Caenorhabditis elegans: one gene and its partner. The protein of the gene in region 1 purifies or fractionates together with the protein of each later gene. This does not show direct contact. Each region holds a gene or a part of one and is shown on either strand. Other genes may lie near its edges.

Evidence for each region. The genes of interacting proteins can lie anywhere in the genome.
Region 2: the proteins of T23F4.2 (region 1) and mrps-14 fractionate together in Caenorhabditis elegans (co-fractionation; one large-scale study listed by BioGRID). This does not show direct contact.

The regions. Positions count from the first base shown.
Region 1 is NC_003280.10:1,160,494-1,167,600, forward strand, and holds T23F4.2 (uncharacterized protein), read left to right. Parts: upstream 1-3,096; 5' UTR 3,097-3,113; coding exon 3,114-3,231; intron 3,232-3,351; coding exon 3,352-3,482; intron 3,483-3,714; coding exon 3,715-3,844; intron 3,845-3,938; coding exon 3,939-4,059; intron 4,060-4,589; coding exon 4,590-4,731; 3' UTR 4,732-4,994; downstream 4,995-7,107.
Region 2 is NC_003280.10:10,239,805-10,245,618, reverse strand, and holds mrps-14 (Small ribosomal subunit protein uS14m), read left to right. Parts: upstream 1-3,128; coding exon 3,129-3,205; intron 3,206-3,696; coding exon 3,697-3,870; intron 3,871-3,988; coding exon 3,989-4,085; intron 4,086-4,953; coding exon 4,954-5,205; 3' UTR 5,206-5,314; downstream 5,315-5,814. Other genes in the region: nrde-2 (Nuclear exosome regulator NRDE2), read left to right, coding at 1-74, 157-663, 736-1,642, 1,703-2,280, 2,330-2,433, 2,696-2,810.

The sequences.
Region 1 (7,107 bases):
TTAGACTAGTTTTGGATACTTGTAAAATACTTTAAATTCAGCAAAAAAAACTTTAGATCCAAACTAAAACTTTAAAAATTTTTAAATTATTTTTCAACTTTTCGAAAATTTTCTAGCTGAAAAAAACAATAAAATTCAAATTTTCCAAAGTATTTCAAACAAACTCATAACTTTTCAATTTTTTTTCCATTTTCCACTAAAACTGACGAAAATGCTAACTGGGTCGCTAGTCAGCCAATTCAGCAAAAAATTGTGTCAAATGGCTGAAATTTTCTTTTCTTAGCGTAACTTACAGTGGAAAATTTCAAGAGTTCGTTTTTTGATCCTACTTTTCTACTATCGGACACTTTAAGCCGCTACTCATCTAATTCAAAAAAACATGCAATTTTCGAAAGTTAAAAATATTGACGTTATGCTTAAAATGACAAATTTTAAATAATATTTTCAAAATCATCGTCATTTTTCACCTAATACCCTAAGTTTAGAGATTTTTATCACTGAAATTGGTAAAACTCTGTAGTTGGGTCGCTACTCAGCCAATTTACCAAAAATTGAGCAATAGGGTTGGAAACTTAGTTTTAGACGTAATTTCGTGTGGAAAATTCAAAAATCTACAAGAAAATTCACAGAAACTTCAAATTTCCCACTTTCCAGCAAGTTTTTACCTCAAAAAATAAAAAATCTAGACTCCCAGATCTCAATAGTTCCAAATTCCAATCACATGACGCATGGTCACCTATTCTTTGATTCCATTGAGCACATCATTTGCTCATTGGCTCAGAGATCAAACTGTTTGTTTGTTATACAATTTTTTGGTGCAAAACCTATTCGGTGGTTGACAGGGGCGCGCGTAACAATAGCCGTTGAGTCACCCCCGCGCCTCCCCCCGGAGAGCCCTTTAAAAGTCCGAGAAAACGTCATTTTGGGGGGATTTTTGGTCTAAAATTGTGGTTTTTTGCGTGGAAACTTTTGAAAAATGTTGCTAAAGTGCTAAAATTTAGGTTTCTAGCTCAATTTTCGGTAAATTGTCTGAGTAGCAGTAAACCGTAGTGATACGGAGTTTTGTCAATTTTAACAGGAAATGGCTCATATTTTTTTTGTGAAAGACAGAAAAAATAATACTTGTAACATAGATGCGTCAAAAATCAAAAATTAAATTTTTAAAAAAGTTTTCAAAATGTTTGAAAAATTTTTTTTCAAAATTTTTCCAAAAATTGAAAATTTTCGAAATTTCAGTTTTAAGGAATCTCAAATTCACTTCAACTTTCAAAAAGCCTACAACTTAATCTGCCAGCCCAAAAAATTTCAGCTAATTTCCATTAAAAGTGAGAAAACTCCGTATTAGGTCAACTGAGTCGCTACTCAGCCAGTTTACCAAAAATTGAGCTAGAGGGCTGAAAATTAGGGAATAGGCTAAACTGAATACGTTGAAGTTGGAAAATTAACTGAAAATTTGATTAATATTTTGGTTTTTTGAATTTCGGAGAAAAAATTTCAAAAAAGTTTTGAAAAATTTTTTCACCAAAAAAAAATTTTAGAAGCAAATTTTTTCAAAAACCAGTTAAAAATCTGAATCAGTATCTTGTAAAACCTAGAGACAACATTTTTCAGCTCGTTATCTCCAAAACTGACTAAACTCCGTATCACTATGGTTAGCTGAGTCGCTGCTCAGCCAAATTGTTAAAACTTGTCTAAATTGAGGTAGAAGTCTCAAAATTTTTTCCTATGTCTAGTTTTAGCTGCAAAATTCAAATTTAATGCTTAAAATTGAACAAAATCAATTGAATTTTCAGAAAATGAGTAATTTATATCGATTTCGCAATACCTGAGTCGCTACTCTGCCAATTTACTAAATTTTGAGCTAGAAAGCTAAAATTTCATGGCTAGGTGTAGTTTTTCACGCTGAATTTGAATATTTAAATATTTTTTCTTTAAAAGTAGTCACAGCTACAGTATACCCATGACAACCCCCGTAAATTTGAAAACATCTAGAAATCGTCATTTTTGATGAAAATTCATGCAATTTTCAATGTAAAGCCCCACTTTTTTTTTGGTGAATAGCTTTCTCCTTGCCTGCCCCCCCCCCCCTATTCATTCCCCCCATACCGCCCATCTTTTCATGATGTTTGCCTTTAAATCGTCTTAAGACCATCACCACAACGTCATTCATGTCATCTCTCACCTCACACAAACTTTTTCGTTTTTTTTTTTGCCGCCGCTCCACCGTCATTTTCCATGTTTCTTACCAATTTTGGCGCGACACTAATCTTGAAATAATTGGGTCTTGAGTGGAAGCCACGCCCCGATTTTCCTGTTTTTCGGGTTTTTAAATACACAAAACAGATGACAAATACACTTTTTAGCCCATGTTTTTGTGGGGTTTTTCCCTGGAATTTTCTGGAAGTTACTGTAATTTTGCTCTCTGAAAACCTAACAACAACTATTTTTTTGTAATTTTCAAAACTTTTTTTTTTGAATTCACCGTACTTGGTTTAGTCTATTCCAAAATTTACACTGTTCTAGCTCAATTTTTTGGTAGATTGGCTGAGTAGCGGCTCAGTTAACCATTGTGATACTGAGTTTTGTCAGTTTTAATGCTAGAAAGCTGAAAATTTTTGTGTCTTGACTTTAAGTAGTCCTGATTAGAATTTTAACAAAAAATAAAAAAATTTTGGGAAAAAAATGTCAAAAAAAATTGAAATTTTTTTTAATTAAAAAAAAAATAATTAGAAAATACAAAAACCACTCTATTTTACTTATTTTAACTTAACTTGTTGAATTCTCTGTGCGTATTCTAGTCTATTCCAAAATTTATAGCTTCCTAGCGCTTATTTTGAAAATTGGCTGAGTAGCGACTCTGTTATCCATTGTGATACGGAGTTTTGACAGTTTTGATGGAAATTGGCTGAAAATTTATGTGACGAGGTTTTAAGTAGTGCTGATTTCAAATTTAACAGTTTAGATAAACGAAAAAAAGTTTTTTTTTCAAAAATTTCAGTAATTTTTTTTATTAAAAAAATTTTTTTCAACTTTTCTTGCTTTCTTTGTAACTTTTTTGAATCTTAAAATTGTCCAACATAAAATTGGTTTATTTCCAGCTCCCAACACACAAAATGATTGGAATGGTCAATGTTCAGTGTGATACTCCTCTCGACTACTACGCAACTGCTCCAAACCTGTTGAGCAGAGACACTTCTGTCAGAAAACGTGGGGATAGTGAATCAGCAAATGGTAAGTCAAGTTACTGTAGAACTAGAAAAAAAATTAGAAAAAATTAAAAAAAAAAAGCAAAAAATTTTTCAAAAAAAATTTCAAAAATTTTTCAAAAAAAAAAATTCTAAAAATTTTCAGCTTCCCGCCACAACTCTACCAAGCGTACTCCATCATGGCGTCCACTTTTCACTGGACAGGGTAAAAAGAAAAGTTCAAAGCCCAAATATCTACAGGATGGCCGGAAAATGACAGAAGATGGGCATGACGAGGTTGGTATTTTTTCTATTTTTACAACAAAAAAATTTGTAAAAATCTGAGCTTTTTCTGTTTAAACATGCTATTCTAGCCAAAAAAAAAAAATCAAAAATTTGAATTCCCGCTGACCCCACGCTGCAAGCACGCTCCAATGCTAAATTAGCAATGGAGCGCGTTTGGCCAGCCGGATTTCAGAATTTTTAAATTCAAATTGAAGTCTTTAGGCCAATTTCTGTAATTTTTCAGCCAAATAAGCTTTGGGAAGAGCTTTTCCTCCGTTCATTCGCCCACAAAATTGAGCAGGAAATCTCGTCGCCGAGCCCACTTGAAGCACACAAAAATCTGAATTCGGAACTCTCAAAACTCAATATTCAAGGTAAATTTTTGGTTTTTCTTAATTTTTCCGTTTAAAATGCTCCAAATTTCTAGATATATTGCAAAAAGTTCAGAAAAAATTCCAGAATTTTTAGAAATTTCAGACAAATCCTTCTACCGATCTACATATTCGTTGGTGTCGCCCACGCGGATAGAAAATACTGATTTTGAGGAGTTGGAGAGGATCGAGAATCAGGAGAAGACTCAGGATGACTCGTAAGTTTAGAAAAGTCGTTAAAAATTCAAATTCCCGCCGACGGCATGTTGCAAGCGCGCTCCAGTCATAAATTTAGCATTGGAGCGCATTTGCAACATGCGCTTTGCAAATCTCGCATTTTTGACACTTTTTTAGGTTTAGAACTATACAAACTTACTTAAAATGCAACTTTCAACTCAACAAATTCAAATTCCCGCCGACCGCTGGTTGCAAATGCGCGCCAATGAGAAATTTAGCATTGGGGCGCATTTGTAGCTTGCGGTTTGTAAAATTCGAATTTTCGATACATTTTTAGGTTTAGAACTATAAAAACTTACTTAAAATGCAACTTTCAACTCAACAAATTCAAATTCCCGCCGACCGCTGGTTGTAAGTGCGCGCCACTGAGAAACTTACTGGAAATTCCGTTTTTGACGGTTTTTCGAGGGGAAAAATGCTAAAAACTTTACATTTTTTGATTTTCTTGGCAAAAACCTCTGAAAAACTGCAAAATATCCTAGAAATTCAATTTTTAATTAATTTTTTCCAGAAAACCCAACCGCTCCAACTCATCAACAGAACGGCCCAGTTCTCAAATTTGCAGTGTTTTTCTTCCATTTATCAAGACAATTAAGGGAAACAAAAAGAAGAATTCGATTACTTCAGTGAATAATAATACCAAAAATTCATGATTTTTTGAAAATTTTAACTTTTTTTTTCCCGCATTTTTTTGCCTTTTTTCTCAACTTTTACTCTCAAAACCCCACTCTTTTGTCACATAATATCTATATCATTAATTTAATTTTAAATATTGCCCCAACACACACACAACTACAGTAATCCTCTCACTTTTTCGCCCACCACTCAATTGTTGAACACACAATATTATTTTATACAAACCACACACAAAAAAAAAGAAGAATCAATCAATAAATCGGCCACAAGTTCAGTTTTTCAATTTTTGAAATTTTTTACATTACGTATTGCATAGGCTATTTCTATATTAAAAATCAGTTTCAAAATTTGGCTGAGTAGCGACTTGGCCAAACTTTGAAGCTTTGTAACTTGTTCAGATAAAGAGCTAGTGCTTAGATTTCAAAGTTAAAAACCGTATAGTTTTTGTCAAATCGAAATATTCACAATCGGATACAATGCATAAAATAGTCTCGAGTCGCTACTCAGTTTTAATGGCTCCGTATCACACAGTATACGAGCGGACGTAAAATTTCATGTTCTACAATTTGTCTTTTGCAAGAAGTTTCTAGCATCAAAATGAACAAAGTTATGGTGTTTTTGAAAATTTAACTGAGTAGCGACTCAGTGTGCCACGGAGTCATTAAATAATCGACTGAGTAGCGACTCGCTATATTTCAAATGTGCATAACTTTGCTGATTTTGGTCCTAGGAAAACTTGCTCCAAAAGGCAAAATTGTTGTAGCCCATAAAATTTCACGTTGGCTGGAACAAAATTTGATACGGAGTCATTAATTTCGCTGAGTAGCGACTCATCAAATTCTAAAGCAGCATAACTCTTTTCAATAATGAGGTAGAAACATGTTCTAAAAAGCAAAATTGGAGCCAATAAAATTTTATTTTGACTTTTATTTTGGCACACAGTTTGATACGGAGTCATTAATTTCGCTGAGTAGCAACTTGTTTCAATAAAAGTAAAGCGTACTTTAAAATGCACAAACCTTGAAAAAAGCTTATGAAAATTTTTTTTTCAGAACAAAAAAATCTGAAAAGTTCAAATTTTCAGACTGTCCTCTGGCCTTGTGATATGCAAATCTAGTGGTGAAATGTCAAAACAACAGCCAATTTTTAGACTTTTATGGTAATTTTGCTGACCTTTATCAATTTTTCCGTCGAAATTTCCATTTGTTTACAGTGGCAATTTTTCGGTATAAAATGTGCCCCAATTTACCACATTTTATCGCAAAATTTTCCGTGTTAAAACATGCTCAAAATGATATTGTCAGCACTATTTCTAATCCCAGCAAGTCAGGGATTCATAGATTTTAACCCAATTTGTACAAAATTGGTAGAATATAAAGACTCACAGAATACTGTTCTGGAGGGATATTTGGCGTATCCTGTGTAAGTTTTTAGTGGGAATTTTTTTTTAATTTTTGAGGTTTTCCAGAATTACTGGGTTCTTCCGTAAGCGCCCTGCTGTCATCATCTTCCATGCTTTCACTGGACGTACCGAATTTGATAATCAGAAGGCTAGGGATTTGGCTAAGGTAGGTCAAAGTCTAGGAAAAAGGAAATTAGCTTTACTTTTGTCTTTTGGAGCAAGTTTCTAGGATCAAAAATTCACACAGCTATGACAATTTGAAGATGAGTCGCTACTCAGCAAAATTAATGGCTTGGCTCCGTATCACATTTAATACCATTTAATTAAAACGGTTATACTCTACAACTTTGCCTCTTGTAGCAAGTATCTAGGACTAAAGTGAACAAAGTTATGGCAGTTTGAAACTTGTTTGAGTCGCTACTCAGCTAAATTGATGGCTCCGTATCATATTGAGTAGCGACTGAACAAGTCGTCATGAAACTCAAATGGCCATGACTTTGCTCATTATTACTCTTTGAAACTTGGTGTAAGAGGCAAAGTTAGTCCACGTCGGTGGTATAAAGTGTGATACGGAGCTATTGGAACTGAGTAGCGACTCAAATTGCAAACTTGGTACTCTGGTTTGAAATTTACGCTCCAAGTTGTACCATGTTTCCAGGCCAATATAAAATCTAGCCAAGTCGCTACTCAGCTAATTACTCCAAAAGTTGCCATAACTTCCCCCATTTTGCTCCAAGAAATTTGGCTCCAAGAGAAAAAATGTAGAAAATACAATTGTTTAAAAAATTCCATAATTTTCAGCTCGGCTACGTAGCTTTTGCCGCAGATACCTATGGAAAAGGAAAAGCCGCTCCAGATGTGAATGGAAATTTTGCCATTATGGGAGGTGGGTTCTAATAATTTCCAGATTCTATCTAAACTAGACTAAAATTGAAATTTTCCAGAACCACAACCCTCCGCAGCTGGATTCTGAGTGCCTGGAACTATGTAA
Region 2 (5,814 bases), 9.1 Mb from region 1:
TATGGATTTATATTCGTTATTTGAAGTGGATGATTTCCTGTGCACACACGCCAGTGGTACTGGCAAACATACAGGTGAGATTTTAGGAAATACTAAGAAACCTTTGGTTTTGTGAGTATTAAATCACTTTTTTTTTCAAGATTTTACTTATTTCAGGCCACTTTTGAATACAATTTTGGACTCGCTGATGTTGAAAAGCGGACGAGCACTAATTCAAAAGAACGGGAAGTCAGATTGGAGGAATTCTGGGAATCTGGTCTTCCGCGAATCGGCGACGAAGGTGCTGTTGGTGCAGAGAAGATGCTTAAACAATCGGAAGAATTATCTGATGAAGATATTCAGAAATTGGAAAATGATGATTTTGATATTCTTATTTCACGCACCGAGGAAACAATAGCGACGTGTCTTCAAGCTCAACGGGACGTGCAGATTTCGTGGATCGAAGTTGAACGAGAAATGATGAACATCGATGCTCGCGTGAAACGGACGAAACTGAAAGATTGTGAACTTTATGAAGATCATGTGGACGACTTAGAGACATGTGAACTCTGGGACATCATTCCTTTTGATAGAATTCGATATTATGAAGCACCAGGCGATTGTGCTAATTTCGATTTTGTACAACCTTTTTTGGAGTTGCTCGGCGTCAAATTTTTAAATTCGGTAAGCAAATTTCAACTAATATTATGCTTGAAATTAATTTTGAGGAATTGTAAAAATACTTTTTTTTTCCAGACGAACTGCTTCACAACAACCGAACAAATCATTTCTGATTGGATTTCTAATGATTCTACTGTTAACTTCTACAAAACTCCGACTTATACCGAGAAAAAGTGCTTTGAAGTTGGAAATAATATTCTGAAGTTTATGCTTTACAATCGACTCAAACTGACCGAAAACAATCCTGAATACTTGGATAAGACTATGGTGAAGTACTTGCTGGCAATGCTCGTCACCGAAGCTTCGGAACAGGAGAAGAAATTGAATTTCCACAGTTTTAAACTGAATCTTAAAAACTTGGTTGGAACATTCATCACTAAACATCCAGACATTTTCAAGCGTGCCATGCTGAGTAAGATCACAGGAATTGTCTACATGGAAAAGTTTGTGTCTTGGTGGGAGCGTGCACTGAAAGAACAGGAAAAAGTAGTGGAAGCTGACGAGAGAAGGAAGAATTATAAAGAGATCAAGATGGAGGAAGGCGTCGTAGATGATGTTAAATTCGATGTCATATTGTTAAAGAAAGACAAAGAACGAGTGCAAACAATTCGTGATAAGATTAGGGATATGATTGATATAGCTATCCCCAAATCAACAGAAAAGCTCATTCAGAGCGCTGATTCTTCATTGCCAACGCTTCAATTACATCTTTATGCCAATGTTCTACGTGGAAGACTTTCTATTCTAAATCAAAATGCTTTAGAAGAGACTCGAGATGTTTTCTGTAAAGAGATTCTTGGAATTCACACTTCGGAATTTGAAAGTGATGAAGCTCTCTTATTGGCATTGGATCAAGGATTGAACGAATTGCTGGAGCATTGCAAGGAGAAGGACAATCTTGAATCGGTCGACAGTATACCAGAATTACCAAGAGCTGAGGCACTGTGCGAAGCTTTGAAAGTTGTGGCGGTATTTGTTTTCTGTGAGTTTTATAGTCTTTGAGTCTTTGTAAAAATTAATTGATTATTTTATTAAATTTCAGTGGACAAGATGGCATTCAGCAGGCGTGCAGTCGACTGCCTCATTGCCAACGCGATCACCAAATTCGAGCAATTTGAAGCCAAGAAAAATGATTTCAATCGTGGAACTTATGAAAAATACTGTGATCAGATCGATTTGAAATTCATCACGGACACTCTCATAACCTTCTTTTCGCACAAAAAACACCGTTTCATCTACAATGAAAACTTCAAAAAGTTGATCTTCCAAGCATCGCAAGCGTTCCCATGTGATTCGAAATATGCGAAGATGCTCGGCGAGCTGCATTCCAGCGGTCGTCTGCAAGTGATGAAGCTTCAAGGATTCACCGACAGCAGAAATAGTATTTTGAATGCGAAACGAGATCAGCAATTTGATCCAGAACTTGAAACTCGTCTTCTCATGAACTCGTTGACTATTATGTTCTCTTGGATGAATGCAGCCAACCGGATTGGAGACGCCGGAAATCAAATCCTCTATAAAAATTGGAAACGAGAAGCAGCTAATACACGTGATCCGGCTATCTGGAGACAAGTTATAAGAGTTGCCAGTAAATTGTCACAGAAGATTCTAAAGGACGATGTGAGTTTTCAGGAAAAAAGGTTGTATGTGAAATTTAAATTTCTTACAGGCTTACACTCGTGCAAGAGGTCAATGTACATGGGCTCTCAATTTGCACTTTGATTATATTGAAGCAAAAACTGTCCGCAAGAATGGAGATCTAATGGAGATGATGTAAGTTCAATTATTGAGAGCAAAGTTTCAGTTCAAAAATGTAATTTGTTGTGCCCGATTTTTGAAAATAATCAACTAAGATTGATTTTATTACAATGTTCAAATTATCGAAGTATAATTAATTTAAATCGTATTATTTTTTTTCGATTTCTAGTCTAGTCTATATACAACAATACAATACAAAGCGAATAAATTTTATTAAAACGCTATGCAATTATAATCAGCACACATGCCAATGCATTCTAAATAACACTATTTACAGCTACCTCATTCTCGAACAAAGCATGGGACAAGAGCATAGTTTATTTGTGACCGACGAGGAATACATGAAAACACAGCAGGAAATTGGACTACAGTATTCCGAATCCGGACGTTGATTCTCTCTTTTTTGTGTAACTCGGCCTATAACTTTTTTAAAAATCCATTCCATATAATTATCCACCGGTATTCATTTCATCCCAGGAATCTTTCTTTCTTTTGTTCTTTCTATCCGACAGATTATGTTTATTTTTGTATTATAATTCTTCTGTCTTTTCGCATTTTTTGTTTCGGTAAAAATTTTTTGTTTTCAACAATGAAAATATTCGTTTTAATGTCATATTTCTTTCATCATGAAAGAGGTTACACTTCCTCCAACCAGTTCCTTCCATGCATGAATAATTGTATTAAATATGTATTGCAATGTATGTGCACAGATGTTGAGGGCACTCCGCGGAGCAGCGGACCTACTATCGACGGCTCTTTACAAGAATGAAATGATGATGAGTAGAAGGTGAGTATAGATTTCTCTAATTATTATTTAAACTATGCGAAAATCCTGCTTTTGGCGAAAAATTTTGATGTTTTGCTTTTTTTACACTCGAGAATATTTTAAACTTTCAATTTATAAAATTTGTTTAAGCGAAAATTTTTCGTTGAAAAAAGTGAACCTGCCACAAAATGGAAACGTTTTTAAAAAATTAATTTTTAGAATTTCCCTTTTTTTTCCGAAAACTTACACTTGAAATTAGAAGTAAAATGCAATTATTATTAAAATATTCGAAAATTCTCAACAAAAAAAAACGTTTGAGGCCTGCGAAATTACTCGTATTTTTGACGAAAAGTTCAATTTTTGCTTTTTTATTCGAAAAAAAAACTAAATGGAAAACTTTTTTTTTGGTTTTCAAATTTCAAAATTTGTTATTCGAACTCAATCCTTTTCTCGCGCTGAGAAAACAGGAATTATCGTCTTATGGCTTAATTTAAATGTCCAACAATTTCCAGATATTTATCAACTCCAGCTCCTGAACCTGCAAAACCATCATCTGAAGAGACTACGGAATCCACGGAACCGGCAACATCTGTAGAAGATGCTGGAGAACCTATGAAAGAGAAACGAATCACTCAACCATATTCTAGCGAGGCGCTTACAAAATTGAAACTTGATCAGTATCCATTGTAGGTTTTTGGTTTTTTTTGTATATTTTTGAAATTATTGCCTGCCGCTTTTTTATTCTCAAAGTGAGAAAGAATTGCACATAAACTATACACTTGTATTGAATATACGTTTCTATAGATACGTGGAGAGAGAATGGTGGAAAACCGGAAAACGAATGACATTCTGGGCGAGTTGGCGTCAGTTGAGAGATGTCAAACGACGTGAGCAGATTCAGGTTGGTTTCTATTTTTTATACGAATATTGTCATATGTGCTAAAAATATTTTTGGTTTTTATTTCAAACCAAAAAGGAAAAAAATTGAAATTTGTAAAAGAACCAAAACAAAAAATACCAAAAAATACGAATATTGTCATATGTGCCAAAAAATTTGTTTTAAAGGATTAAAGGATTAAAGGACGATCCGTTCTTCAAGTGCTATGCACTGCGGATCTGGGATTCAGGTACACTGCCTGGTGGTGATCCCTCTGGGCTGTAATTTAAGCCACGTCCTAGCCGGGGACTGTGGCCGATAATCCAGTCGTGGATTGCTCCACTTCCCAATAGAGGCTGGGTGAACCTAGGGGGTGAGGCCGGACTTGAACTCGTGACCTCCAGACTGCTAGCGGCCACCACTACCGACAGAGCTAAAAAACATCAAAAACCATAAGAATATTTACAAAATATAAATTGTTTAAAATACAAAAAAAAAATCGCATTTTTCTTCGTGCCAGAATACCAAAAAACACCAGGGCTGTCACCAAAAAAAATTTTCCATAAACAAAAAAAAGTTTTTCGCTTCTTTTCACATGTCTGAAATTTTTTAAATATTTTTTTTATTCGAAAACCACCAAAAAATCGTTATTGAAAATCATTACTTTTTAAAAAAACAAAACCCCACAAAACAGAAAACCCAAAAAAAAAACCATTTTTTGTGACGAAAAAACCAAAAAATTCCCTTTTTTATTAAAAAAACCCCCACAAACCAAAAAAACCAGAAAAAACCCATTTTTGTAACAAAAAACCCCCGACACCCCCATTTTTGACAAAAAAGCCTTAAACAAGCCCAGGCCTGCTGCTTGCCCTTGATTAAAATTTAATTTCAGGAAGTCGGCGCGGATCGTATGCGTCTAAAAGCTATCAAATTCAACACAATTCTCCCGCAAGCGATTCGTGACGAAGCAGCCGAGAAAATGCAAAAAGCTCGAAAATACGATCATCCTCGTCTGATTCTCAATATGTGCCAGTTCACAGGACGACAACGTGGAAAGATAAAGCCATACAGATTGAGTAGACACTTGTTCCGTCGATTTGCAGATAGATCAGCTCTCAGTGGAGTCCAAAGAGCCATGTGGTAGTGTGAGATAGGAGTTGTAGTTTTAGATTTATTTGTTTTCTATTTTTGATTTCTTCTTCGTTTTGAACACTTCTTTTGTTATCGATGCTCTTAATGAATTATTTTTGTTTTATTGTGATATAGATTATGATATCTCTGTATTGGTTATTGATCAATTAAAATACTTTTTTTTCAGAAAAATTATTATTTTCAGATGTTTTTCTGTCCATCAGTGTGCGAGCGTGCTCCACAGCCCCAATACAATGGGTCTCGTTAGTTAATTGGCGGCAAAAGCCTAAAAATTCAAACGTTTTATTTTTCGGCAATCAAGGATGTCTTCGAAAAATGTCTGCTTCAGAGATTCACTGTTTTGCCTCCAATACCTAACGAGACCCAACTATTGGAGGCGGATCCTGCTCATTTCGCTGCTGAGCGCGCTTTCACATTGATCTCAAAAAACGAATTTTTCTGCGGTGTCGGCTTCAAAAAAAATTTCCAGAGAAATCGCTATTTTTTCGTTTTCCCATTGTTCACAAATTACATTAAAATTTCGGTCAATTTGCTTCCTTTTAGTGAAAAAGTATTTTTTTTCTCTTATCAACAGGCAAAGTTTGATTCAAAAAATTTAAAG